7 linked regions of the Mus musculus genome follow. The protein of the gene in region 5 interacts with the protein of the main gene of each other region in a biochemical or structural test. Links are inferred from orthologs where the notes say so. Each region holds a gene or a part of one and is shown on either strand. Other genes may lie near its edges.

Region 1 (4,235 bases), on a different chromosome or scaffold from region 5:
AGGTCTATAAATGCCTTATGAACTCATGCGGAGAACAGCTGGCACGTCTACGGTTCTGGAGCTACAATTACTTTGACATATACAGGAGGCAATAATCAGACTTCTCAACATTTCTAAGCTAGTTCAATATTGTTTTGGGACATGGTAGCACATAGGTTCTTTTTATTTCCCTGCCTAGTAAAGTAACTAGATCTTTCCCTAGTAATAACAGTGCTTCACAAAAGCTGCGAACATCCTAAGTATGCTTATTAAATCCTATTAGACCCTTCCTAGGGTGTCACAGGAATGGCTAAACACTAAATTAGAATCCTCAAACTCACACAGCTAAATAATCCTTGATCTGAACATGTAGTTTACAGTGAACCACTCCACCTCATCTATTTCTAAAAAGAAGGTATGGGTATTTGAACAGAGCCCTCAGTTAGATGATGATCGACATATGAACAGTAGAGACCGTAACACAGTTAGAATGCAAACATTAGCAAAGACGAGCCTGACAATTTGTGCGTGGGGGTATTTTATTTTTGGTGGGGGTGCTATCTGGTCTTTCATTCCTTGGCACTTGAAACTTGCACATTATAAAGGGACCATTGTCAGTTCAAATTTAACAAGGTTATTTTAAAAAGACTGGGAACAAAAGCTTGTAACTGCAGACTCTGGTAGAATCATTTTTAGTAAAAAGTTAAAAGTATCTGGCTTGAGTACAGCAAAGTCTTACACATGAAATGTCAGTCCTTTTAACTTGGAATTTGGTAAACAGCGAGAGGCACATCCAATGGCCGAGCAACCTTTCACCATGTTTTTAGCAACTCCTAACACAACTGGAAGAGAATTAAAACGAGTTAGTAACTCCAGGGCTAAGCTAAAGGCATCTCCTCCCGGACAATTGCCTCCCTTCTCCCAGATCCCAACACCTGAAGTTTTGCTGATAAAATGCTCTAAGTCTTGGTATTTTGTAAGAGTGGACATAAAGTTATGCACCTTGAGGTCTGAGATTCAAACTCTGCAGGCTTCTTTATTTCTCTCATGTTCTTACGGGCCAGATTTTTCTCTCCCACAGGTCTGGTACACACTAACTCCTGCTGGCGTACTGTTTGCCATTCAACTTTCAGCTCGAGCGTCTCCTTCCCCAGGGACACCACACAGGACTGTCCTTCCAGTGTGGAAGTTGTGACCTCATCTAATGCCGTGGCGTTCTCCCCCTCCCCATTTGTGAGTTCCACGGGGGCGTGGCGTGGCTACTTGTTTTTCACTTTGCGTTCTTAAGTCCTGGGTGGGTGACAGCACAATATTTTCTAAAGGGGGCGCAGGGAAAAAAGGAGACCGGGACAGCCGCCGGCACTCGGACCTGCGCGCGCAGCCGCCGAGCCCCGCCCCCTTTCGGAGCAGCCGCGGGAGGGGCCGCTCCTCACCGGCGCCGGCGGCTCGCAGCAGCGCCCGCCAGACGACGCAGCGGTCCCCTTCGCCCGCAATCAGGGCTGGCAGCGATGCCGGGGCGGGGAAAAAGAGCCAACCTAAGACTTACTACCATTAGCAGTGACGACAGCGACTAACGTGGACGACGGACTAAGCGTCTCACTTGGCTTCCACCCCTTACACCAGGGACCGGAAATCCGGATGCTGCAGATCACGTGATTGGACCCCCCCTTCCTGACTCTGGTGGCCGCTGCTCCGAGGAGGAGCGGGTGTCCGACCGACTCTGCTTCCTTAAGGCGTGGCTTCCAAGCTGGGGGAAAGGTTCAGTGGCTGGTGAGGGGGAGGTGGTGGAGGAGGAGGAGGAGGAGATGGCGGCGACGGCGCGGGAAGATGGCGTCCGCAACCTGGCGCAGGGGCCGCGGGGCTGCGAGCACTATGACAGAGCTTGTCTCCTCAAGGTGACGACTTTAGAGGGTACCTCCTCGATGAGCTGCGGTCGGGTCTGGCAAGGGCAGGTTGGGCAGAAGCTTCAGACCGAGCTGCTTGTCAGGATACCTGCCATCTGGAGTTGGGCTCTCCTTGCAGGAAACGTTTTGGCAAGGCGAGCAGGAGCTCTGTACTCGATCGCCGCTGCAAGCCAAGTTCTTGTTTGTAAAGACTTGGCCCTTGCTTAAATTCACCTCCCTTGTGGGTTTATCCGTCATTTGCGGTTGACAGTAGAATGAGGAAGTGAAAGGGCCTTGGCATTTCTGTCAAGTGCGTATGATGCAGTGATGAAAGCATAAGCAAGGGAAGAATCAGAATATAATTTCTGTACGTGTAGGAAGTTTATAGTATGGCTTGTCAGCTTCATTTTTTTGTCTAGGAATATGCCCAGACCTGTCCAGGAGAAAATGTCTGTGTGAAGTGAGAGTTGGGTGATTGCCATTAAGTTGGATATTGGAGGAGTGCCTAATACATATATGCTGTCATTTTTCCTGCTTGAGACGTTCTAGTCATCTAGAGTTTTTAAAAATGACTCTCACACAGTTAAGACTTACCTGATTTTTTTTTTTAAGAAGCAGTTTTAATATTTTGTTGAGAAAGCCTGAGATTTGAGCTGGGGTTATAACTCAGCCTTAGAATTGAGTTTATAATGCTGAAGGCCTTGGCTTCAGTCTTCAGAAGTCGCCTCCCACTGAGAAGAAACTTTGACTCTTGGAATCCTATAGCTTTCCCTTCATAGTTTAGATTGTCCTTAACTTGCTGTGTAATTTGGAGCAAGCTACTTTTTAAAGAGCTTGCATATAAAATATACAAGTTTGGAAGCTGGTCTTAGTGGTAAAGGCCTGTAGCTCCAGGAGATGCATACTTCCAGCTATTTGTGAAGCAGAGGCAGAAGGAATACCAGCCAGGAGATGCTAATGCAAATAAGAAAAAAAAAAAAAGGAGGTGGGGCTGGGGGTATATATAGGTCATTGCTAGAGTACTGGCCTCACCAGAGAGTCTCTAGGTTCAGCCTTCTCTGCCAACAGGGAAAGTCCCTCTTTTATAAACCATGTGATGATTGCATGCTAGAGTGCACATGTGGTGTTTTAAGAGGTGTGTCCCCAGAAATGACTAGGAGTATATATTAACTAGCACCCACAGTGGTCATCAACTCCTCCTTCGCCACCTTCACAATCAGCTCTGCTGGTCACTGACCTTATAAGTTAGGACTAAGTGATAGGCTTAGATCTGTAAGGCAACTTAAACCCTTTTCTGTAGGCCATGCCTGGTGAGCATTCATTGCATTGGATGAATTTTTTCAGACTGGTCAATTATCTAATGTTGTATAAAGAATTAAATATTCTTTTGGTTACATTTCTACTGAAATATTTTTACAGTTTCAAAGTGGTATGAAACTGAATTTAATACCTGGCCTTCCCCTTCCACCCCTGCAAAGAAATTGCACAACCAAATTTGTGTTTCACAACACTTAAAATCTTTTTCTCTGAGTGTCCAAGCATTGTTTTTCTGTTCCCTCTTCCTCTTTCTTAATAGGAGAGGCCAGCTGAGGTGTTTCAAGGAGTAAGTCATCTACTAGATCAAGTGTAGCTGTGCAAGCAAGATAAGGAGTGACAGCTGGCTTTTGCTTTGGCCAGGGGAAGGTCGCTGTTGATCTTGACAAGAAAAGTGCCAATGGAAGTATTCAGGGTAAAGCTTCCTTGGAGTGCTTACTGAAAATAGCATAGAGGATTTTTGGATTTTTATTGCCAAGGAGAGCAAAAATGTGGCTGTTTTGCTGAAAGCTGTGTTACAGCATGTTTCTGTACACTGGGAAATGATCCAACAGGGCATTTTGTAATGCAGCAAGAAAGGGGAGAACCATTGAGTAGTCACAGTGGGAAGACCCAGCATACGGGTAAGGCTGCTCTTAGCTGGCAAGCAGAGCACGGGGGTTTGCTTCTCCTGTGCTGTAATAAGCACCACAACCAAAAGTTACTTGGGGACCAAAGGGTCTATTGTTTGGCTTTGCTGTGACAGTTTGTTATTAGGGGAAAGCAAGGCAGGAGCTCCTGCAGGGCAGGTACTGGAGGTAGGAACTGAAGCTGAGGCCGAGGAGGAATGCTGCTTACTGCTGGCTTGCACTCCGGGGCTTGCTCATCTTTGTTCTCCTTCCTTCCGTTTGCCCTTCCTCCCTCCCTCCCTCCCTCCCTCCCTCCCTTTCTTGCACTAAAATTAATATTTACTAAATCTTAGCTCATACTTATAAACATTTTTAATAACTTGTTCTTCAGATAGAAAACTTAGCAAGCACTTTGGTTTTCTTGAAGAAAAGTTCTTAGCCAGCTAGTTGT
Region 2 (4,131 bases), on a different chromosome or scaffold from region 5:
TCTGGTTGCCTTTTTTGTGGTTTTTTTTTTTTTTTTTCTGCCTCTAGACATGGTTTGTAGACCAAGCTGGCCTTGAACTCAAAGAGATACACCTGCCTCTGCTTTCAGAGTCCTGGCTTGTGTCACCACGTCCAGCGAGACTGAGACTTTAAAACTTCAATTTCTTTCCTTACATTTCCCTTTTCTGTTTTAAATCCTCCCCTTAAACCTTTTGCTTTCAGGCCTCAAGTGTGCCAGACTAGCGCCCTACCACTGTGTGACATCCACAGTCCCATCCTACGTATTTTAATCCTGGATTTGAAAACTTGGTTCCTTTCACTTCTCCAAACCCCACTACATGCACACACCCTAGAATGGGGACAGATTTGTGTTTTTGGTCTCTGTTGTATGCTCCCAGCATATGGCACTGAACTGGGTACCAAGGAGCTCAGCACTTATATGAATAGATGAAGAATATAGGCAATAAACAGAATCGACCGCTCCAGGAGCGCCACTTACACCAGAGTTCTGGGAGGCAACCCGGGAAGTTCAGTAAATTGATTTTGTTATTTAGAATTTCTCGGTGCTCGAACCGGCTGCGGTTGTATTATGTCCTTTGAGACGTGTTTACTTGTGCAGTTTGCGAACCTGACGCACACTTCTGTGCAGGCTGGAAGAGTTCTGTGCAGCCAGCAACAGTTTGCAGGTAAGTCCACATGCTTTCACATCATCAGCAACTCATGCTACTCTGACTGCCCGCGTTCTCTTGAGAAATGTGCACATGGCAATTCAGGTATTTCTTCACTGGCGATTTTCCAGTAAGGAGGATGAGCTCAGCTGTACTGGTGGTAAAGGACGTGCAAAGACCGGGAAACGAATTAACGCTCACTTTTCCAAAAGTATCAACTCCCCACTCTAGATCAAATCCCGCGCTCTTGCAATGCTCAACCTGATTCTACCACCATACCGCCCCCGTCAGATACCTATCTATGGCGGGCGGGGCAGAAAAAGACACGTCCTAGCTTCCTCCGAATCAGTTAAGTTTCGTAGAATTTTGGTTTCCTACATTTCAGCTAACATTAGTGAAAACCGCCGACCACATGACACAGTAGCCACACACGCGGGCAGAAGAGGAAGCAAAACAAGAAGAAAGCCGGCGCTCCAGTAGCCACGTGAGGAACGAGTTCCCGAGCGCCTTCTCTAGTGATGACTTCAATTCCCGGCCTGCCCCGGGGCGGTTACTATCGGAGGACTACAACTCCCAGGGTGCAGTGGACCAGTCCGCCGCAACCTCCCACTCGCCCGCCTGCCGCTTGTCCCGCCCCTCCCCCGCCCCGCCCAGCCGGATCGGCATGCGCCTGCGCAGCGGAGGCCGGAGGAGTCTTACCCTAATGTAAGATGGTGGCCCGTCTAGCCGTGGAACCCACCGAAAGCTGAGAGTCTCTCTCTCAGCCGTAAAGGTCGGACTCACTGAAGCAGTCAGGCCCGGTTCTGAAGAGTTTTTTCGCCGACTCTCGTTCATTGGTCTCCTGTGAGGACTCGGCAACGCGTGGAGTCGGCTAAGAGAAAAGCGAGGCAAGGCAGGCGGGTGAGTGTCTGCGGGGCTGGGCTTAGGGGAAACCCGGCGCTGACCGGCTACGAGAGAGCGGAGGCTTCGCTGGGACTGTGCAGGCCGCACCCCCCTTTCTCCCCACCCCCCCACCCCCGCCCGCCTCGTCTTCACCCTCCTCCTCCTCCTCTGGCTGCCTCCTCCTCCTCTTCTTCCTCCCTCTCCCCTCTACGCCACAGCAGTTATCACCAGGAAAAGGCAGCCGGGTTGGAGGCAGCGCGGCAGCGAGCGCCGGCTCTCCTTGGAGAATTTCTTCAATTGAGAACCCAAGAGGGCTTCTCATCACCAGTTTTCCCCGCATTTTTCTGGCAACAGTATCCTTAGGTCTTGGTCCTCCTGTTTCCCCAGCCTCCTTTCCCCTCTGACGTCCTTTCCTACTGGCCCCGGTCTCCCAAGCCAGAGCCATCATTTCCACTCTGACGGGTGCTGCTGCTCACTGCCCACCCGTCCTGCTTGGTGGGCTTTTTTGCCCCTTTTTGCCCCATCCCTTCCAGAAAGGCTGCTCTGGATCTAGCCTCTGCTCCCCTCTGGTGCTTGCAGTCAGCCCCCAGTCTGTCTGCCAGACCCGAGTTGATTCCGATGTGCAAGTCTCCTTTAACCGCATCTGTCATCTTAAAGCCACCTCGTGAGTATCTAAATCATGTTGCTGCTCCGTTGCTCCGTATAACCCACCTGTTTCTTAACCTACTTGAGAATTGTCGGTTCCTTCCCTCTTTCCAATGCAGACTCTTTGAGCACACACTCCAGGATAGGGGAGATGATGCCCCGTGTTGTTCCTTGAAAAGTAAAGGAAGTTAGGAAGTGAATGAAGTGAGTGGGAGACTATTAACGTTAAGAGAAAAGAGCTTTCTTCGGGCTACTCGGGAAAGGAATGTTTTGCTTTTTTGATCTTTTTGTTGCTCATTTGCTATCCTTTTTTACCCCTCTTTTCATTTTCGACCTTCTCCGTGCTACTCAGCATTCTCCTGAATTGCCATTCCTCAGGACACTTGATGTTGTCTCTGATTATACCCATAAAGATCAGCTTAGAATTTCAAAACCAGGTGAATCTAGCGCGCACACACACACTTCATCCCCGAACACCACATGCAAATAAATACAGATGGTATTTTGATTGTATGTGGGTTACAGATTCCTTTTGTATCAATTATTGGCTCCGTTATATTGATGTTTATGTTAATTGATAACATTTATTTGTGATGGGTGCAAATTTGACTTTTCCCCCCTCTCTTTTGATCTGGGAAATTCCCTCTTTTGACATTTCTAGGATAGGAGTTATCAGAATAAGTTGTATGGAAAAACACATTGGGTATGTATGAAGAGAAGTTGATATTTTGGGGTAAACTTAAATTCCTTTTTTTCCCATAGAAACTATGGGGGCTGAGAAAAGAAGTCACAAAGCTGAGCATACGCATGCTTCAATGGCACTTAGCTGTTATTACCTGTAGTAAGTAAGAGCTAGAAACTGAAGAGCAAGGGGTGGCTTATGGTCTCTACAGTAGAGTGAAAGCAGAATTGAAATGCACTAGTTTGTGTAATCAGGAGTTAGAGTATTTGCTATAATACACCACAGTGACATAAAGAATTACCAGAACAGCAAATAAGATTATATAGGTCAGATAAACACATGTCAAGTTTGAACATAAGACATTGTGTTCTTAATATATATATAAAAATATTTAAAGTCACAATAACAGTCTCATAATGAAGTATGTCGCTTATTGGGGGGAAATAGTAACAACTTAAGTGTAAATACAAACGCAGTTCTTCTAGTTACTTTCACACATTACTGTTATTGTAAATCTTACATATTTCACCTATAAAGCTTGACTATTCTTATATTTGATGTTATATTAAGTTGCTGTGAAAAGTTTTTAAAAATGTAAACTAAGGTTAGAAAAGCTGCTCATAAAGCTTCCTCTCCTTCCTCCTCTTCCTCCTCCTCCTCCCCCTCGGCTGTCTGTCTGTCTGTCTTTCTTTCGTTCGTTCTTTCTTTTGTTCTTTCTCTCTTTCCTTTTTTTTTTTAAGACAGGGTCTTTATGTAGCTCTGACTGACCAGCAATGTAGATCAGGCTAGCCTTGAACTTGAAGACAGTCACCTGACTCTTCATCTTGTCACTCATGGTCAAAGCTCTTTATTTCAGCCACTTAAGCCCCAATTTGGCAAAATGGAATAAATCCCTATTCTTCTAAAAAATTGGAAGCATTTTATATAAGCATCCATTGTTTTTAGTTATACCTTGAAGTTAAAAAGAAAATAATACTTTTCGTTTAGTTTACCAATAACTTGTCTTTAACTCCAAGTAAAAAGTAGATACTGGTGGAAAAGCTTGCCACTTTGAACAATCTTGTCTAGATACTCTTGGCAGTCATACTTGGCTGAATTGTAAGCAGTATGTTCTAAGGAGAATGTCTGATAGAAGGGGATGAGTGATTTTTTTTTAATGCATCTTTTCTTTTGTAAAGCTATTTGGCTCACTAAATATCGTAAATAATTTCTCTTCTTCCTCTGGGGTCATCAAATTCTTGCTTCTAGCATAGAG
Region 3 (4,300 bases), about 29 Mb from region 5:
TAAACCTTCTCCGCCATACTTAGGAGCAATCCTCTCTCTCTCCTCCAGTTCCTCCCTCCCTCCCGCCTCGGTCTCTGTCTCCCTCCTTCCCCAGCTCCTAAGCACTGTGTGGTCTTAATGGCTTTTGAATTCCATCTTAGGCTTCCGAGCAGAGTGTTGATTCCATTGTGGCTGACTTCGAAGGAAAGTCACTACTTTGGGACACATTGCAATGGAGGAAAGAGAGTTGGGGGCTGGTGCAACATCCTTCTTTTTGATTTGCAGGTGCACAGCAGGTACTTGGTCATTAAGCTGGGACAGACAAGCTGAATCAGTTGATTTTTAACCACCCAGACAGTACTAGACACTCTGGTGCTTTCTATTTAAAGGCAAACAAAATGTTCTTCCTGTTTTCATTTCTAATTTACCACCGCACTCAACATTTAAATTTAAGGAACAAACGGCCTTCCTTTTTGTTTTTTTTTTTTTTTGAGACAGTGTCTTTCTTTACAGCTATGGTTGTCCTGAATTTACCATGCAGACCTAGCTGTTCCTCGAACTCACAAAGATCTTGTCTCTGCCTCCCCCGTGCTGGAATTAAAGGCACGGGCCACCACGCCCAGCTCCAAGGAAAAGACTTCTAGGAGTGGCAAATTTCTCTTATTTAAAGTAGCCTCCTGCGTTCCTGAACATCGAAGGATTAAATGAAGGGCTTGCTAGAGAAACTCCCTATCTGGAACGTGGGAAGATTCCTACGGTGGCTAATAAGACATCTCCATCGTTTGCATATGTAAAGGACAAACTTAAACTGGAATTTGGTATTTCACGTTGTGCCTCACAAAAAATGAGCTTTTATCAAAGAACTAGGCAGCCGGGTTTCAAGTGGGTGGGTGTGTACTCAGCGCGGGCGCGGAGTTGGTTTTGTTCCCAGTAGAGTTGACTCCAGCAATGGCGACTCACGGCCACACCGGGGCAGCCTCTCCTAGGCTGGCCGCCCAGCCAGGAAAATCTCTTGGGCGAGCTGAAGCTGTTAGCCAAGTCTGGCCTGCCATAGCTGCCAAGAATTTAAAGGGGGTCTAGAAACAAGCATCGTCGCTCTCTTTTAGAGCTCCTGGAGACTCTGGATAGGAAGAGAAAAAAAAGAGAGAGATAAAAACGGACATAGTGGCTTTGTTGTTGTTTCACGGGGTCTTCATGGTCCCCCAAGGTCCAGTTCACCGGGTCCCAAGGCAGAGAGAAGCCGGGCAAGAGGAGGGTCAGCCCGGCAGGCCCAGCCCGCCAGGGCGCGCCCCAGCTCAGTGCTCTGTGCCGGGTGACCCAGGAGGCGCGGGGGTGGGGTGGGCGTGGGGCGAAACACCACCACCCCCGCGGCCCGCCCCCCAGCCCGGCCTGTGATTGGCTTGGGGGGCGCAAGTGCCCGCCCCGGCGAGCGGGAGGGTCCCCGTGGGCGCCGGGCGGCGCAGGCGGGGCGGGGAGAGCCGGCCGGGCGGAGCAGGCGAGGGGCGGGCGCGCGGGTCCCGGGGATCGCCGAGCGGGCTTGGGGAGGCCGGGAGAGCCATCGGCGGGGGCGGGAGCCCGGCGGGCTCAGCGCAGAGCAGGGAGAGCTCCGGGCCAGTCGCCGTTCGGCGCGCTCTCGGGAGCCGCCAGTCCGCGCGTCCCCGCAGCCTTCCGGGAGGAAGCGGCGCCGCGGCCGGGTGCAGCCTCACCTGCCGGCCCTTCCCCGCCGGGCGGCGCAGAAGGACAGAGGGTCGCGGCTCCGCGACGCACTTCAGCCAGTCGCAGCGTCCAGGACCCTGCGCGGGGCGCCGGCTCCATGGCGACCGGGCTTGGGGAGCCTGTCTACGGACTTTCGGAAGAGGAGGTGAGTTCCTGCCCAGAGCGCTGTGCGGAGGGGACGGGGCCCACTCCACTGTGAGCGTCCCCTGCCAGCCGGGGCTCCAAGATTCCGGGTGACCCCGAGCGGTCCCGGGCGGTGGGTGGCTGGTTCTCCCTCTTCACCCCGGAGGTGCGCTTCTCCGGCCTGGGCTCTCGGGGTGGGCAGAGGCCGCGTGCGCCGCTGCCCCGCGAGTCTCTTTCCTCCGCAAGCTGCGTCTCTCGAGGCTGTTGGGCAACTTTTCTGGACCACGATCCTGCAGCCCGGAGTCCGTGACGTGTGTCACGTCTAGGTAGCCGCAGGGGTCTTTGCGTAGTGCAGGGGATCTGGGGGCTGCCGAGGAACCTAGTGGTGTCTCCTCCCCCTGGGACTTTTCTTGCTAATGGGCGCTCGGTAGCGGATGTGTGCAGATCCCGGCGAGAGCGAGGGACACCCGGAGAGTTGCGTGCGGCCGCTCCTGGGTCTTGCAAAGTCTGGAGCTAGGATTGTGCGTTCCAGAGTCTCCTATTTTGGTGTGTGGAGGTGATCTAGGGAGGAGGCAGGTGCTGCAGGAAACTTAGGGGAAGCTTGCAGCCCTGCCATTTCTCTCCAGTCCAGAGAATTCAAAGCCCGGCATCTCTGGGGTGGGTGGAGAGAAGAAAGCTCCATTGATCTCCTTTATTAATAAACGAATGAAATAAGCCACACCCCCCAAACGGTTGGTTTGACTGGAGAGGGCTTTGTTTTTAAAAGCCTCACTCGCTCATCGCGGTCCCCACTCCCCCTTTTGAAACGATCCTGCTAAATCACTGTTCAGCCCTCACTCGACCAGCCATTCTCGACTCTTATTGGTGTGTTGCTCTGCCAAAAAGGGGGGTGGGAGGCCTGTCGCGGGCGCGGAGTGACAGGCAGGCTGCATGGAGCAGGTAGGAGTGGTTCGCCATCTGGCGGGGTGCGCGCCCAGGTCTGGCTCCCCTTTCGAGAGGTGAATTTACAACCCATGAAGCATTACTCAGCAGGGAGGTATTTCCTATCCTGGTTGCGCATTTCATGAAAAGTGGATGTCTGGAAATTTGGGCTTTCTCGATTTCTCTTTCTTACCCTCCCTCCTTTCTTTCTGAGGTTCCCTCTTTCTCTGGTGATGGGGGTGGGGTTTAAAGAGAGTCTATTATCTGAGACAGGCTCACGTTATGGCTTTGCTTTCGCAGCTTCCCTAGTGGTATGGTGTGTGTGTGTGTGTGTGTGTATTCTACCTAAGTGTGGAATGAAATTGGTATTTTGTGGAAGGCAGGGCGTGTAGGGGTTGATTTTATCTTTTGATAGAGCTAGATAGGCTTACTGGGCTGCTTGTGATCAAAGAATGATCACAATGCGAGTAATGTGTGATGTGTTTTTGATTATTTGCCATGGTTGTGTAGAATAAATTTTGTGTGTGTGTGTGTGTGTGTGTGTGTGTGTGCAGTTACCTGGAGATGGGTGAAAGTAGAATTGTTTTGTTTACCTAGGGGATTCGCCTCCTAGCTCCTTATCTGGTGCTGGAGGGGCAGTCAGATCTCTTGGAGGTGCTGAGATTCTGACGTTCTTAAACAAAGGGCTTCCTGGGTGAGGTATCAAGGGAGATGAAGACAGCTGTGTTTCATCTTAGGGTCTCTTTAATTTTTTAAAAATAACGTGATTATTTTTAAAGGCTCCTTGAAAGAAATATTTTGAGACTGTTTTGGAAAATGCATCTGCATAAAGGAATCTTTTCTGTCATGGTCCGTCCCGGCTTTGTTTATGATGGAAGCCGGTGTCAGAATCCACCTCAGGGCACATCTTGCCACTTTCGCCTTGGAGAATCACTGTTGATCTTGACTGGTGTGGGGTGTGAAAAAACGAAGAGCACAGACACCAAACCGAGTGTGTGGAGTGTGTGGGGGCTTGCCTGTGACGCTTCCCTCCTGCCTGTTACCAGAGGGACTGACTGTACAGGGAAGATCAAGGAGTGAGGAAGACACAATTTATCTGTGTCTTGCTTTGCTACTAATGGTTCTGTTTAGTTACACACATCATATATGACACAAAAATAAGCCTCACCTACCTTTTTCATTTTTCTCTTACCAATAGAAAAATAAATGCCTCCATATTTTTACGGTATCTGTTTGGTATGGGAGGTCTCTCTCTCTCTCTCTCTCTCTCTCTCTCTCTCTGTTCAGGGGTCCCTTTGAAGACAGACAGAATGCCTTTGTATAATATTAATATCAAATTATTACATGTAATTGGTTTGTCGTGTCTCCAGAATTAGTCTGTAAGCAAACAAATGGGCATCATTACCAGGCTCTGGAAGTGGACTGCCCAGGCACCTCAGGCTTGTCAAGTTGTGTTAGATAGGGTATACCAGTGGGCTGCAAGTATGTCATGAAGGTGTTTGTTTAGCTGCAGAGAGGAATCCACTTGTAAACCTCTCGGCAAGTGGAGGGTACCCAGGAG
Region 4 (4,161 bases), on a different chromosome or scaffold from region 5:
TATGGAAGTCCGAGGACAACTTGGGGGAGTTATGAGAATCAAACTCCAGTTTGTAGCAAATGGTTCATCTCACAAGCCATGTTGCAAATGACTGGGAACGAACCAAAGGGAACTATATTGTACAAAGACTCATGATGAGATGTTTTTAAGAATTATAACAGTGGTTAATTTTCAGATTTAAAAGATCTATAGAAATATTTGGCATGAAAAAATACTACAAAGACAATTTCTCCACATTAGAAAATTTGGAAAATTCAAAGCTGTTTACAGAGCTACATTCTGGGATAGGCACTAACACATGGCTCGGGGATATAATAATTAAAAACTGTACCCTATGTTATCTTATGTAATTCACATAGATATAACCTGCTGTTTATAGTGTACAATTCAGTGACTTTGAGTGTATTCATAGTTGTATAACAGCAACTTTAGAAATTCTCACTTCAGGAAACTAGTACCCCAACCTGTCACTTCTTTAGCTGTCACCTCCAGTTCTTTCAAACTCCCCTTCTACTCTACATTGCATGCATTTGTCTTATCAGCGTGGTCACACAGAATTTAGATATCTGTGTGTGGCTTGATTCAGACATCGTCAACATTCTCTGATATTGTAGCATTATCTGTACTTTATTTTCAAACGCTATAATTCGAGGTTTGCCTCTCTGGTTTTTAGGAGTAGTGCTACTGTCAGCCTCAATGTAGGGACTTTGTGTGGGTGTCTGTTTTCATTTCTCTTGGATGTTTACTTAACAAGCAGTGTAACTGCCAGGACGAAGGTCACCCTTTGGTTTACCTTTTAGGAACAGGTATTTTCCAAGAAACTAAGCAGCATTTGACATTCTTACTTGTAGCTAAGAGGGAACAGATTTTTATTTCTGGTTAAATTGGTTCCTCCGTTTTAAAAATATTCTATCTCAAGGCTTCTCTTATTTCCTAAGCATCATGTCGCTTCTTTAGGACACCAAGGAAGCCTCTAGTCTACAGGGTGGTGGGATGGCGGGTTTACCAGCTTTGGCGGGGAGGAACAAGCGACAAGTGGCCAGGGGCAGGGGTCCCGCACCCTCACCCTGCCGCCTGACCACGCACACAGGCCTGCCGTCATTGCCTACGGGCCAGGCTCACCCCAGAGCCCGGCTCGGGTGCGCTCGTGGCTTCAGTGGGCCCAGGGTCGCCAAGGATGCTGCAGGGGGCCGGGACGCGGGGCCCCAGGCCGGGTCCTGTGCTCTCGGGGTTGCAGAGCGCCGGCTGTGGGCGGGGGACGAAGGCCGCGCCCCCGCGCCCGTCCCGCCCGCGTCCCGCTAGGGGCGGCGGCCCGCCCCGAGTCCGCCGAGGCTCTTCCGCGCCGGCAGGGGCAGCAGCGGGAGCGGCGCGGGGCGGAGCGGCGCGAGCAGCTAGGAGCGGCCCGGCTCGGCCCGGCGCAGCGGCGGCGGCAGCGGCAGCGGCAGCGACGCCAGAGCCCGTGGGCGCCTTTCGCAAGGCCGCCGCAGGCGCCTGGCCGCAGCGCGGGAAGCCTCGGGGGCCGGAGCCCGTCGCTGCCGCCATGCCGCTGCTCTTCCTCGAGCGCTTCCCGTGGCCCAGCCTCCGCACCTACACGGGCCTCAGCGGCCTGGCCTTGCTGGGCACCATCGTCAGCGCCTACCGCGCCCTCAGTCAGCCGGAGGACGGCTCGGGTGAGCCGGAGCCGCTAACGGCCCCACTGCAGCCCGAGGCGCGCCTGACCGCCGGCGGCCCCCGGGCCCGCGACGTGGCCCAGTACCTGCTGTCGGACAGCCTGTTCGTGTGGGTGAGCGAGGCTGCGGGCCGGGCGCGGGGGCGGGCGGCCGGGCGGGAGCCGCCATGTCACCCATTATCCGCAGGGGGGCGTGGCCGGGCCCTGACCCCGGCCTCCTCGGCCCGGGGACCGCGGCCCTCGCGTGGGGCTCGAGGCCCAGCGGCGCTGCGAGCGTGGCGGGCCGCGGAGAGAAGGTGTCGGGATGCCGGGGAGAACAGTCGAGGCAAGGGCGGTCGGACCCGCGGGCTCCAGGGCGGCGGGGTGCGGCGACCCGAGGCTGTGAGAAGCCGCGACACGTCCGGTTTAGCTCGGCGTTGTTGGGGGCGGCTCGCCGACGAAGAGAAGGCCGAAGTTAGGGGGACATTTTACTCTTCGCCAGACAACTTCGAAATGGTGCTATTTGTCAATGCGTTAGTCCCGATGGGCGCTATTTAACGAAGCAAACAGACCAGCTACGTCCTTTTATCTCACCCCCAACCACCCCCCGCGATGGTTTGTGACTGTTCCCTTTTTGACAGAAAGCAGCAAAACACTTTCGGGTCGGTGTGGCAGCCCCTCCTTTGAACGCGATTCCTCCGTTTAGCGATCCATTTTGAAACAAGGGTTCTAGTTTGTCTGCCGGTGCGAGATAAGCAATGTCCACATGCCACAAGTACTGGCTTCGTTTGTTACATCATTTTAGGCTGGGCAGATCTGAGAAAATTTTGCTCTCACCTTGCACTTGAGTGCCTCTTCTATGAACCCTCAGAAATAGGAAAAGTTGCTCCCGGATTTAAAAAATTGTCACTTGGATTTCCTGTGGCTTGGTGGGGATCGTATCTCCCCACACGGCGCCTAGAGAAGGCTGTAAATGACTGAGGGGTTAATGTTATAAGTTTGTAGAACTATAATGCAACTCATTTGTTGTAATTATTCCCACTGTGCTTCATCAGGAAGCAGCGGGATTTGTGAACTTCGTGGGCTGCAGATGACGCCTCCTGGTCCTTTGGTGCATAGTTTCATAGAAGGCAGTGAAGGGCAAAGTTCCCCTTTCTCTACTCCTAAGAAAAGATGAACTGTTCGTCTTTAGGGTAAACAACTTAGAATTATTATGTTGGGAGTGCTTTTGACAAGGGTGAAGACTATAGTGTATGTAGTCGTTGATACCTTGTTTTAAGCTGGAACCATTATTCTATTACTAGAACAGCCAATAGTATTGTTTAATGTTTTTTTTTCGTAAGTTTCTTCTTGCAAAACCCACGTTCAAATTCCAAGGTTAATAACATTTCATAAAACATTAATCTAAGGCCTTCCCTTTGGCGTTTCTGAGAATTGTCATTTTAAAGAATGTTCTTTTTCTTTGCACAGTCTTACCTCATATAGATTGATCATTCCTTCCCCTCCTTTGAATCCTTATTTCTCAGTTGAGCTTTATTCGGTTTTCTTGCATGTCCTCTGGAGTTTTGGCACTCATGGTGTCTGCCCAGATCTATCTTGTGTGTGCTGTGAGTTTTGTTTATCGTTTAGTACTTACTTTGCGCAGCTATGCCTCACACTCTTTAAAAACCTCCCCTGTTCCTGGCAGGTAACACTGAGTGTCAGTGTGGTGGGCCTTTGTCAAAATGGATGCTTCTTGAGCCTCACTCATAGGCCTTAGACATTAAGGGGGGGAACCCCTTCCCCGCCTAAGAACAAAACATTGTCTGCCAATGCCAAGCAAGATTAACAAGAACCTGTCCTTTGTCATTGCCAGTCGGAAGTCTTACTAGTTATTGTTTTGTCAGACTCTCTAGAACTTGTCTTTGTAGAACACATGCAGTAGTCTCTCAGGAGGTTTGATATTAGCACAGGCAGATGAAAACCTTTCTGAGGAAGACTCAGCTACCAACAGCACTTCCCCCCTACCCTCAAATGACTCATATGTAAATGAGGCTACTTACAATAGGTGACAATAGAACACATGTGAAGTCCTGTGGGGTTTCCAGGTAGGAGAAAGGCTTGCTGTGTGGGACTGACTACAGCTTCTCTGACTTAAAGGGAGTTGAGAGGTTGGAAGGAGACCAGAGGTAAGAGGAGGTGGCCCTGCTGAGAGACAGGTGACAAGCCTTTGAGGCTCCTTCTCTTCAGGTGTGGCACTGAGGCTCACTTGTGGCTTATGACAGCCATCTTTGGCTTGTCACTCCTCCTGCCACATGCAGTGAGAAAAGTAGGTGGAATTTCAGAACTGGTTAGGTTGGTTCTAAACTTAAAACTTTAAAAGACAGATCCTGCAAGTTCATATTTCAAAGGTCAAAGTAAACAAAAGTGATAGACAGCGAAAGGAGGTCCCTGTTCCACCTGCATCCCATTCAGCTCCTTGTAGCTGGTGCTGGCCTTAAATGGGAACCTAAGAAACAGTCAGCCTCAAGTCC
Region 5 (3,500 bases):
TGCTTTTATAGGTAGTTACTTTATTGAGTACTTTGAAATTATCGCTATAGCTTATGAACAAATTTGTGTTTTGTGTGTTTGTATTTTAAAGTAAGGTTGAGGATCCAGCCCAGAGTAACATATGCCAGGCAAATGCTTCATGTCCCCCCAGCTCTGTATTGAAGGATATACTGGAAACTCTAAAAACCCACAAGAGATCATAATTTATTTTCATTACTTATTTGGAGGCAGCTTGGACTGGTCTGGCATTCACTCACTCTGTAGTCAAAGAGATCCTTCTACCTCTGCCTCCCAAGTACTAAGATTAAATGTAAATGTCACGGTGTCTTGCTTACATTTTGTTGTTGGTTTTTTGGTTTTGTTTTGTTGTTGTTGTTGTTGTTTGTTTGTTTTGTTTTTTGTTTTTTTGAGACAGGGTTTCTCTGTGTAGCCCTGGCTGTCCTGGAACTCATTCTGTAGACCAGGCTGGCCTCAGAAATCTACCTACCTCTGCCTCCCAAGTGCTGGGATTAAAGGCAGTCACTGCCACACCCTGCTCACTTGTCTGTCTGTCTGTCTCACTCTGTCTCTGTCTATCTGGTTTTTTTCCTTCCTTCCTTCCTTTTTCTTTTAATGGTTTGGACTCAATTGGTTTAGTCTTCATCCTGCCCATTGAAACTAGTCGTTATCATGCTATTTATAAATAAACTTTGATTAGATATAGGAAATGATAGGTTTCTCTATCGTAGGTGTAATGTGAATATTGTTAATTAACATGGTGACCCTTTTTTCTTCTTTTTCAGTGTTTCATTGGCAGGCTACAATAATGGGGCCAGTAAGTATTCACTTTAATTCCTTAATAATTGTTTCAAGTAATTTATCCATTTTTAATATCACTTTTTTATCATCAACAGAATGACAGCCCCTATCAGGGTGGAGTATTTTTCTTGACAATTCATTTCCCAACAGATTACCCCTTCAAACCGCCTAAGGTAAATGGTATATGATCATTGCTCTTAAGATGCTCTGTATGGTACTGGTAAACAAATCACAAAGATTTCTTTTTCTTCAGGTTGCATTTACAACAAGAATTTATCACCCAAATATTAACAGTAATGGCAGCATTTGTCTTGATATTCTACGGTCACAGTGGTCTCCAGCACTAACTATTTCAAAAGGTAATGGAATGGTTGTTTGATAACAAGGTGAAATAACTGATTTTGTGCAGGGTATGGAGGAGCACACCTTTAATACCAGCACTGTGGAGGCAAAGGCAAGCAGATCTCTGAGTGCCAGCACTGTATAGTGAGACCCTGTCTCAAAGGGGAAAGTAACTGCTCTTTGTTACTGTTCTCTGTTGGCTTAACTTTTTAAGATTATCTGGGGCTTTTTTGTTTTTGCTTTTGTTTTGTTTTGTTTAAAAGAAAATGAATGATGTGATTGTTTGATTTTTATCTGTTTGTTTTAAGACAGGGTCTTACTCTGTAGTTCAGGATGGCCTTAGCATCTACAGTGCTGGGATTACAAGTGTGAGCTACTGTACCTGGTTAAAACTTATTTTATTTTTGAGACAATCTCCTATATCCCAGACTATCTTCTTTTTTTCTTTTTTTTTTTAAGACAGGGTTTTTCTGTGTAGCCCTGGCTGTCCTGGAACTCACTTTGTAGACCAGGCTGGCCTCGAACTCAGAAATCCGCCTGCCTCTGCCTCCCGAGTGCTGGGACTAAAGGTGTGCGCCACCACGCCTGGCCCCAGATTATCCTTGAAGTTTCTGTATGACTGATTGTGTCAGACAACTACTCTTGTCTGTTGGAAATTTGACAGCTGATTTTCTCTGAATATGAGCCTCTAAAAATTGAGGTTCGCTAGTGCTGATGTGTATTCTCAATCTAGGATTTAGAAGAGCTGTTTTGTTCTTCAGAGCAGAACCTCATGCACATTATGCAAGCTTTCCACCACTAAGCTACCTGCATTCATAATTCTATATTCTTATCTCAGGTTGGCATATCAGGTTGGGTTTTTGGTGGTGATTTGTTTGTTTTCCTCTTGGAAACAGGGTCTTACTGTACCACTGTGGCTGGCCTTGAATTCGCAGATATCCACCTTTTCCCCTGCCTCTGCCTCCTGAGTGCTTCCATTAAAGACCATGCCCAGCTTCTGATGTTTAAGCCTTTTGCTGTGGTCTTCTACTAACCTATACTTTTTTCTTTTTCTTTTTTTTTTTTACTATCCCAGTACTTTTGTCCATCTGTTCTCTGTTGTGTGATCCCAATCCAGATGATCCTTTAGTGCCTGAGATTGCTCGGATCTACAAAACAGATAGAGAAAAGTAAGTATCACCTCCAGATAAAAAAACATTCAGGCATGGGATAGAGCTGCCTTACAACTTGTTACTTATAGAGTTAAATATAGACTAAAAGTTTAAGATAAACTCTCTGAGGGGTACATGAAACAGGTTTCTATATCATATATTATAAACAGATGATACTAATCTCATATATATAGTTGTCTAATGTAACTTCTACTAAAAACCTTTCTTGCAGTACTTTTCGAGACAGGGTTTCTCTGTGTAGCCCTGGCTGTCCTGGAACTCACTTTGTAGACCAGGCTGGCCTCGAACTCAGAAATCCACCTGCCTCTGCCTCCCGAGTGCTGGAATCAAAGGCATGTGCCACCACGCCCAGCTTCTCCTTACAGTACTTATTAATACCTTTGTGTCTTGTTTGGTTTTAGACTTGTGAATTATTGTACATCAGGTTCTCATTTATTTATCTTACATATAGTTTGGTAAATTAATGAGAAAGATAATTGACCTTACTACCATTTGGCATAAAGGTGCCAAATCTTTTAAAAACAAGTTTTGATGTAGAATTAGGCATTTAGAACTGTATACTGTATGACTTACTCAAGAATGATCATGATATCAAGTGACTTCGAGGTCTAGTCATTTTTGCTTTTGTGTCTTACTTGATGAGATTAAGACGGGACTATATAGAATATGGGGGGCTGCCCCCCTTAAAGATTTATTTATTTATTTATGAGTACGCTGTAGCTGTTTCACATCAGAAGAGGCCATTGGATCCTATTATAAATGGTTGTGAGCCACCATGTGGTTGCTGGGATTTGAACTTAGGACCTCTGGAAGAACAGTCACAGCTCTTAACCATTTAGCCATCTCTCTAACCCTGCTGTTTTGAGACAGCATTTCTTGTGTAGCTCAGGCTGGCCTGGAACTGAAAGATCCTTCTGCCTCTGCCTCTCAATGCTGGGATTAAAGGCACATGCTGGTGATGGCACAGGACTTTAATCCCAGCACTTAGGAGGGAGGAGAAGGCAGACTTTTGAGTTCAAAGACAGCTGAGGCTATGTGGAGAAACCCTGTCTTGAACACCTCTTACCCCAGGAAAAGGGCACATGCCACTATACCTTTCCCACCATACATAACTAGATTTTGAGTTAAAAACATAAAAGACTAGCTGAATGTGGTAGCCAGCACCTTTGATTCCAGCTCTTGTGAAGT
Region 6 (3,500 bases), on a different chromosome or scaffold from region 5:
CCCATCAATCAAGCTACATCTTCAGCCTAGAGCAATATTCCTTCTCAGACTCCATGCATTCTACAGAACTACAGCACTCAAGAGTGTAAGCTTCATGTCACGATGGACTCTGCCTGGCTCCCAGGCAAGTCTAGCCACTTAATAGCCATGTGTCCCCCTGCTATGTACACCTCAGTTTCCTGATCTGAAGTATGAATAATAGCATCTTCCTCAAAGAGTTAAACAAAATGCACATAAACCATGTTGTACAATACCTCACACATAGCACATAGCCTGCTTTATCCTTTTTTAAATCTAAATTTATAGTTTTTAAAAATGAATCCAGCTTATTCATAAGAAATTACCTCACTTCAGAGGGCAGAATTGAAACATAAGTCTGTTTCAATCCAGAAGTTAGAATTTTAAACGTTTTGTGATACGGTCATATAATAAGGCTGTAGTGAACTAGTCCTATCTCTTTTTTAATATTTTCCCCCCTTGGTGGGGTCTTCAGAGGGGGTCAGATCCTCAGGAACTAGAGTAATAGGTGGTTGTGAGACACTGGACTCTACTTAGGCAATAGGAACCAAACTCAGGTCCTTTACAAGAGCAGCCAAAGCTCTTAACCACTGAGATGACCTCCAGTCCCTTAAGTCATGCTTTTTTTCAGTTTTAGCTATGTATAAAGAAATGAAATATACCTCAAAAATAGTTTATTGTAAATCTGTGTATGGTGGCATATATGTATAACCCCAGCACTTTGGAGGTGGGGGCAGGAACCTCAGGGGAGTTCTAGTACAGCACTAGCTACAGACTGAATTTGAGGTTAGCCTGAGCTTGGCAAAAAGAGATAGTTTAGAAATGCCCAGGGGCAGAGGGTGTTAATGATGCTGCATGCAACACGTAATTGAAAACCTGTGGCCACCAACGTGGATACCTGATGCCATCTCTTCAGTCTGTCTTTCCTTCTCCTCTTCTCTTCTCTCATCTTCAGCATTCAAAAGTACTGAGACAATATCATTGACGGTCCTGTAGTTCTCACCAGTGGCCAGGATCTGCCGCTGAACCGTCTGTCTCACCAGGCTCCTACTGAAGCCCATTTCCAAGGCTGCTTTAACCACAGGCGTGCTCATCATGACGACATCTTCCGAACTTTCTCCAGGGCCAAAATGCACCACTGTCTCTAAAAAAATTTGCTAATATTAAACTCCACAAATTTAAACTATGGAAAGTAATGCCTGTGGCACCTTTATTTTTCATATCCTGGTAAGGGAGACATATCATGTGCATCAATTAAATTAACTTCAATACAATTTGAACTTTGGATAGTGTACTATGTATCTAAAAATTACTACCTACCTACAGTATATACATCCTAGATATAAACTTAAAATAAAAATCTCTTGGCAATTTGCTTAGGAGTCTGATTGTTAAAAAACAAAACAACAACAAAAAAACTCCAACAGTATTGTTGGGATGGCTCAGTGGTAAAGGTACTTACTGCCAAGCCTGACAGCCTAAGTTCAATTCACAGAATCCATGGGGGGTGGGGGAGGGGGGGGAGAACTAATTCGTAAAGTTGCCCTCTTTTTTTAAGAAAATAGTTTATTTGCTTTTATGGCACTGGGTTTTGGTTGCATTTGTCTGTGTGAAGGTGTCAGCTGCCCTAGAACTGGAGCCACAGGCAGCTGTGAGCTGCTGTAGGTGTTGGGCATTGAGCCTAGGCCCACTGGAAGAGCACCCAGTACTCAAAACTGCTAAGCATCTAGCCGGGCGTGGTGGCGCACGCCTTTAATCCCAGCACTCGGGAGGCAGAGGCAGGCAGATTTCTGAGTTCGAGGCCAGCCTGGTCTACAAAGTGAGTTCCAGGATAACCAGGGCTACACAGAGAAACCCTGTCTTGAAAAACCAAAAAAAGAAAAAAGAAACAACTGCTGAGCATCTCTCCAGTGCCCAAGGGTGCACTCTTAACCTCTATCCACACATTGTAGCGTGTGCACCCACACATACACTATAGTTTTTCCTCAAAAATCAGGTAGGCAAGATGGCTCATGGCTAAGTGTTTGCTGCACAAGTCCACCCAAATTTAATTCCTGAAACCCACAGGAAAGGACTGACTCCTAAAATAATTGTGTCTCCATGTCTTTATATCTGTGTGTGTGTCTCTCTCTCATGTACATACACACACAGACACACACACACACACACACACACAAACACACACACATGAAAAAATTTTAAAGTATCTCCCCAAAAGAGTTTAATATACATTCATTTTTTAAAATCAATGTACCACAAAAATACAGCTATGAGAAATTACCTTCCAGCAGGAAAGGAGGGCAAATATAAAGCTCAGTAGGAACTGGACATGTGACAGCAAAGACAAAGCTTCCCTGACACTCATAAGCAAGATCTAAATAAGCTACCACTTCAAAAACCAGCAAACAGTAGGGAAGAAGGTTAAGATGGGGGTACAACCTTGGCAGAATGCTTAGAATACACTGAATTAAAAATGGGGGTGTGGCCTAGGTGGAGGGCTTGTCTTCCACTCTAGCAAGCATGCATACATCTCTTCCCCACCCCTATAAAAAGATGAGGTGTGGGTGTGGGGCCTAGCACACATGAAGCACCTGGGTTGGAGTTATACCAATGGATATGTATCAGACTTGAATGATGAATAACGTCTAAACAGGTATATAAGTGAGGCAGAGAAAACAAGGATGGGCAGCATAAAGATGTAATAAAAACACAAATAAGCAAAACTACTGTTATTCTGAATGGAGGTTTTAAAGATGAAAATACGAGGTGACAAATGCAGGAAATGGGAGGCCATAGGGACACGGATGGAAGCATTCTCTGCTAACAGGGTCAGTGCAAGCTCATACTGTGCTTCTGTGACATTACAGCTGTACTTTTCCAAGATACTTTACTGCCATCCACTGGAAACTCATACAATCAACACACAAAAGTGTGTAGAGAGCAAATGTGGTCAAAAATATGTTAATCCTCAACACCTCATCCAGAAAGTAACATTTAAAAATAAATAAAACCCTAAAACTGAAACGATAAAGTAAGCAACAGGAACATGTGAAAGAGAACAGCAAGACTAGCCTTCACCAGCACAAGAGCTTAACACAGTCAAGAAATAAAGATGGTGGCAGACGGCAGGGACAGTAGTCATGGTATATACAGCTTTGTGAGGAGTGTCCACATCACCCTAAGTTTGCCAGAATATTGTAGGAGGAACTTAAGCAGAGAGCTATTCCAAAGGTAACTGGTGATGCTGCACAGATGGATTTGGGATCAGGAACAACTGGTCTACAAGATAGACCAGGGTAGCATGGACTAAGAGACAGTATCAGGACATGCTGTGAAGGCAGAGCATTTCTCAGGAGATAGCCCAGTTGGTTCTGTAACTGGGTGTTATGAACTGAGATGGGGAAGGTCAGAGAAAAACATCTGAAGAATGAAATCAGAGGAAACCTAGTGCTTTGACATATTTGCTGAGACAGCTATTGTAG
Region 7 (4,074 bases), on a different chromosome or scaffold from region 5:
GTCAAACTAATTAGAGTTAGAGGTTGACCTTGAACTCCTAATCCTTCTGCCTCCTCCTCTCCTGTGCTGGGGTTACGGGATTGGACGCCTACCATATCCTTGATTAATTGATTGATTGATTATTTATTTATTTATTTATTTAGCCTAGGCTACTCTGGAATTCATTATACAGACCAGGTAATCCTTCTGTCTCAGTCTTCCAAGTCTGGAATTATAGGCCTGAGAAACCACTCCAGGCTCAAATTTAAAGAAACATTTTCATTTAAAGAAATAGCAAACGTTTTGTAGAAGTTTAAAAAAAAAAAACAAAAAACCAAAAAACCGTAGGCACAACCAACGGAAAACTAGCAAAACATCCCACCAATCACAGCGCTAAACAATGCCACAGGTCGTCCAAATTACGCATCGGTTTAAGTCAACAACAGCTCGTTTCCCCCCTCCAAAGCTATCCCTTCCGGCGTCAGAGAAGACAGAGGCGTGATTTGTCACTTCTTCCCTTTTTGATCCCTCGGCCGGGATCCACCTGCTTAGAAGTGTCAAGGAGCCTTAGGAATGGTTAACGGTGACCAGCTGCGGAAAGAAACAAACACTCCTGACAACCCACAGCTGAGCAAGCAAGGGCTGTTTATTCAGCAGCGTGTCCCCTTTGGAGGCTGCCCGCAAGCCCTCGAAGGCTGGGCGACAGCACCAGAACCGAGAAGGTTCCTGGACAGGCAAAGTGGTTGCTCGCGTCCCACCCCCCATGCTCTCCTATGTCCCCAACACACACACAGAGGCGCCGGTGCGAACAGTCGGGTTACCCACACGCCCCTCCAGAGCAGCCCCGCACTAAGCCACTTGTCCCTCCCCGAAGATGGGCTCTGACGCGGCCGAGGCTGACCCGAGCGCCCGGCCTCGCGCCGCCGCGGCCCGGCGTACTTGACCCGGCCCAGAAACTGGCCCTCCACGCCGCCACCCCTCACCTGGCTCTGTCCCACCTGAGCGCGAGAGCTGAGGGGACAAGACGCGGAGAAGGGGCGCTGACCTTGTTGCTACTGACAGCGGAGCGCCACATGCTGCCGCTTCCCGGACAGCGGCCCGAAGGACATTTTTTTTTCCCCCTGGAGGAAGGAAACGGGAGGGCGCCGGCCCGGCGGCGGCGGGCACGGCGGCGGGGGTCCCGGCGGGCTGTGCAGCCTCTAGCGGGGACGGTCCGAGGACTACATCTCCCAGGCTGCTCCGAGCCGCCCCTGCGTCGTGACCCCGGCGCGCACGGAGGCGGCGACTCTTACCTCACAGAGGTAGCTCCTCCGCCGGCAGCAGCTCGGCGCCCCGGCGGTCCATGGACCGGAACCCTGGGCGGACCGGCAGGAACCCGGGCCGCGACCGCCGCCTCCCGGCCCCAGGCTCCTCCTCCTCACTCCCCGCCGCCCTCTGCGGTCGCCCGCCGGCCGCGCAGCGCCACCGCGGGCCTCTGGGAGCCACGCCGGGAGGCTGTGTGGCGGGTCCGCGGCCGCCGCGGGACTGAGGCCTACTCCGCCGCCTCTCAGTGCTATTGTCCCGGGGCCTGGCCCTGAGCGGGGCTGCGGGCGAGGGCCGAGCTCGCCGGCTCCGCGGAAGATGCCGGACCAAGCCCTTCAACAGATGCTGGACAGGTAGGAGCAACGTGGGGCCGGGAACTGCCGGCCTTCGTCCTGGGCCTGCCCATGCTGGCCTCGAGGCCCCGAGAGCGGGGATCCTGGCGTCCGCCGAGAGTTCCACGGCCCGGAGGCCGGGAAAAGGGCTCTGAGTTTGGAGGTGGCACTGGGGAGAAGAGCGGGCGAGAGGTCAGGGTCGTAGACTTTGAAACTTAGTTAAAGGAGGGAGGTCTACTTTGGCCGCCAGCCTGTTTGGGTTTTTTTTTTTTGGTTGTTGTTTTGTTTTGTTTTTTGAGGTGAAGAGGCGCTATTGTTAACCCATAGTATTAGTTTCTATTTCTCCCCCTCCTCCCCGGACAATGTAGTAAAGGGGTTGACAGCGACGCCACTGGGAAGTACCCGATTGTCATTCTGGAGACTGGTCCCTTGCACTTTCACAATGCAAGGATAGGCATTCCTTCTTTTAAAGCCTGGGTTTCGTTTCTCTTTCCAACTCCCCCACCACCCTCCCCCAATCCCATCCCTACCCCCAAACCGTAAGGTCAGAATATCCACAAGGGAGCCTTAACGGTCGGTCACACTAGAGTAGAGGTTATGGAAAACAGCCACAAGCATGCAACATTGAACACGTAGCACACTTGACGATCGCTAAGTTCCCAGACACGTTTGGGCTTGTACTGGGACCAGTTGCCCATTCCTGGGGTCTCCAGCCACTAAAACTCTTTGAGAAAGTCTACAGCACTGCCCTCTGCCGTTTAAATTCCAGCCAGTGAGTTTTTGGAAACTAAATTAAATCCACCTTTTCACCAAGGCAGCTGCTTGCTGTTCTGACCAATTGGTCGATCTAATTCATAATGTTTGAGGTTGCTTGCAACTCTAAATAGACTAACTGGCCACCCACTTCAGCAGGTGATGCTCTCAATGCACTTAAGATTCAGCTTTGAAACTTATTAAATGAAGGCCCTCTCTTGATTGAGGTTATAGCCATTAACTACTGGGGCTGGGAGGTGGGCATCAAAGATCCATCAGGGAAGGCAAGAAGTTACACCCTCATATTTTATGACAGGATTTAGCCTAAATCTCTGGTACTTAGCAGCTATTCTGCTACAACTAATGAACTTGTCCGTTTCTCCAGTTGTCTAGAAGTCTGGTCACTTCTCAAGTTTTCCTTTCATTATAATTTATCATACTTGACTAGATGTGTCATACTAAGTATGCCCAGAGAGATTACTGCCTGCCACATCGATTCCAGTTATATGAGACGCAATCCTTGTATTGCGTAGTTAATCATTTGCTCTGATGACATCCCACTTTCACTTTTCCGTGACGACACTTAGAAAAATTCTTCTGTCTAGATGTTGTCTTGGCTTTTCATGTATTCTTCAGAGGTTTTCATAAAAGCCAGTGAGTGCTCATGAAACATTTACAGAAACTTGGGAATTCTGGCTATCCTTTTTAGAATGTACATAACTTAGTCGTTTCCTCTCCCATCACCCTAGCTCACCTCCATCCTCTACCTACCGTTTTCTTCCCAAGTCCTTTCCCATTCCGAGTCCCATCACCCCCTCGTTTCTGTGTGTGTGTGTGCGTGTGTGTGTGTGTGTGTGTGTTCCATTAAATTTAATTAGGATTGTTTGCATAAGCATGGGTCCAGGTTATTTACAAGAGCATGGGCGTGTTATTAGCACAACACTAAATTTACTCCCTCCTCCTCTAGTAGCAGTATCCAAAGTTCAGGGTAGGCCTGGAGTTTTGAGTCCCTCCTCTATCCCTGATGCAATAGTGTGTAGATCTTACACAGATAACCACAGGTACGGTAGGTGTGTAAGCACAAGGCCAGAAGACCAAATGCACAGCGCTCCTCGTCTCACAACTCTTACATTCTTTCTGCCCCCATCCAACTGTTCCTGCCTCTGCCATACTCTGTTTATCCAGTGCCATGCATGCTAGATAAACACTGGTACAACTGAACCACATTCCCATTCCTTACTTTAACACTGATAATGATTCTGGTATATGTAGCCCTACTTGTCTACTTACGCCCTCTACTGGTGTGTCTGAGGTCAGCTACTGTGTACTTATGTATAATACTAAATCTTTGGTCCGAAGCAAGTGGGGCCGACCAGAGCAAGCAGAGATCCTAAAAATTCAATTCCCAACAACCACATGAAGGCTCACAACCATCTGTATAGCTATAGTGTAAGCACATACATTAAATAAATAAATAAATCTTTAAAAAAAAAAGGACCTCTTGAACTTGGAAAGAAATTGTTGTGATGTCCTTTTTCTTCCTATAGCTATCCTTTACCATTAAGAAAACGGAGTCGGCTTTTTAAAAATTGGTTTCCTCAGTTGAAAATTGAATGGTCTGAGAATATGGCTCAGAACATTCTGCCTAGAATGTTTGTAATCCTGGCCTGAAGGGTAGGGGAACTATATATGAAAACACTAGCACTTT

The links.
Region 1: the proteins of Ube2d2a (region 5) and Rchy1 form a complex in vitro, tested with the Homo sapiens proteins (9 studies listed by BioGRID and IntAct, with this or other methods). The link is inferred for Mus musculus from reciprocal best matches to the Homo sapiens genes UBE2D2 and RCHY1.
Region 2: the proteins of Ube2d2a (region 5) and Cnot4 form a complex in vitro, tested with the Homo sapiens proteins (5 studies listed by BioGRID, with this or other methods). The link is inferred for Mus musculus from reciprocal best matches to the Homo sapiens genes UBE2D2 and CNOT4.
Region 3: the proteins of Ube2d2a (region 5) and Nedd4l form a complex in vitro, tested with the Homo sapiens proteins (11 studies listed by BioGRID, with this or other methods). The link is inferred for Mus musculus from reciprocal best matches to the Homo sapiens genes UBE2D2 and NEDD4L.
Region 4: the proteins of Ube2d2a (region 5) and Amfr form a complex in vitro, tested with the Homo sapiens proteins (3 studies listed by BioGRID). The link is inferred for Mus musculus from reciprocal best matches to the Homo sapiens genes UBE2D2 and AMFR.
Region 6: the proteins of Ube2d2a (region 5) and Birc2 form a complex in vitro, tested with the Homo sapiens proteins (9 studies listed by BioGRID, with this or other methods). The link is inferred for Mus musculus from reciprocal best matches to the Homo sapiens genes UBE2D2 and BIRC2.
Region 7: the proteins of Ube2d2a (region 5) and Marchf5 form a complex in vitro, tested with the Homo sapiens proteins (7 studies listed by BioGRID). The link is inferred for Mus musculus from reciprocal best matches to the Homo sapiens genes UBE2D2 and MARCHF5.

Annotation. Positions count from the first base shown.
Region 1 is NC_000071.6:91,960,269-91,964,503, reverse strand, and holds the start of Rchy1 (RING finger and CHY zinc finger domain-containing protein 1), read left to right. Parts: upstream 1-1,435; 5' UTR 1,436-1,784; coding exon 1,785-1,874; intron 1,875-1,947; exon of another isoform or gene 1,948-2,017; intron 2,018-3,438; exon of another isoform or gene 3,439-3,799; intron 3,800-4,235. UniProt on the Homo sapiens protein: E3 ubiquitin-protein ligase that mediates ubiquitination of target proteins, including p53/TP53, TP73, HDAC1 and CDKN1B. Mediates ubiquitination and degradation of p53/TP53; preferentially acts on tetrameric p53/TP53.
Region 2 is NC_000072.6:35,130,938-35,135,068, reverse strand, and holds the start of Cnot4 (CCR4-NOT transcription complex subunit 4), read left to right. Parts: upstream 1-1,331; 5' UTR 1,332-1,567; intron 1,568-4,131. UniProt on the Homo sapiens protein: Has E3 ubiquitin ligase activity, promoting ubiquitination and degradation of target proteins. Involved in activation of the JAK/STAT pathway. Catalyzes ubiquitination of methylated RBM15.
Region 3 is NC_000084.6:64,886,256-64,890,555, forward strand, and holds the start of Nedd4l (E3 ubiquitin-protein ligase NEDD4-like), read left to right. Parts: upstream 1-1,500; 5' UTR 1,501-1,792; coding exon 1,793-1,840; exon of another isoform or gene 1,841-2,748; coding exon of another isoform or gene 2,749-2,757; exon of another isoform or gene 2,758-2,854; intron 2,855-4,300. UniProt on the Homo sapiens protein: E3 ubiquitin-protein ligase that mediates the polyubiquitination of lysine and cysteine residues on target proteins and is thereby implicated in the regulation of various signaling pathways including autophagy, innate immunity or DNA repair.
Region 4 is NC_000074.6:94,009,841-94,014,001, reverse strand, and holds the start of Amfr (E3 ubiquitin-protein ligase AMFR), read left to right. Parts: upstream 1-1,361; 5' UTR 1,362-1,540; coding exon 1,541-1,783; intron 1,784-1,873; exon of another isoform or gene 1,874-1,973; coding exon of another isoform or gene 1,974-1,994; intron 1,995-4,161. UniProt on the Homo sapiens protein: E3 ubiquitin-protein ligase that mediates the polyubiquitination of lysine and cysteine residues on target proteins, such as CD3D, CYP3A4, CFTR, INSIG1, SOAT2/ACAT2 and APOB for proteasomal degradation.
Region 5 is NC_000084.6:35,799,059-35,802,558, forward strand, and holds part of Ube2d2a (ubiquitin-conjugating enzyme E2 D2), read left to right. Parts: intron 1-782; coding exon 783-814; intron 815-893; coding exon 894-971; intron 972-1,051; coding exon 1,052-1,157; intron 1,158-2,215; coding exon 2,216-2,309; intron 2,310-3,500.
Region 6 is NC_000075.6:7,820,058-7,823,557, forward strand, and holds part of Birc2 (baculoviral IAP repeat-containing protein 2), read right to left. Parts: intron 1,163-3,500; coding exon 917-1,162; intron 1-916. UniProt on the Homo sapiens protein: Multi-functional protein which regulates not only caspases and apoptosis, but also modulates inflammatory signaling and immunity, mitogenic kinase signaling, and cell proliferation, as well as cell invasion and metastasis.
Region 7 is NC_000085.6:37,206,271-37,210,344, forward strand, and holds the start of Marchf5 (E3 ubiquitin-protein ligase MARCHF5), read left to right. Parts: upstream 1-1,274; 5' UTR 1,275-1,599; coding exon 1,600-1,634; intron 1,635-4,074. UniProt on the Homo sapiens protein: Mitochondrial E3 ubiquitin-protein ligase that plays a crucial role in the control of mitochondrial morphology by acting as a positive regulator of mitochondrial fission and as an important regulator of immune response.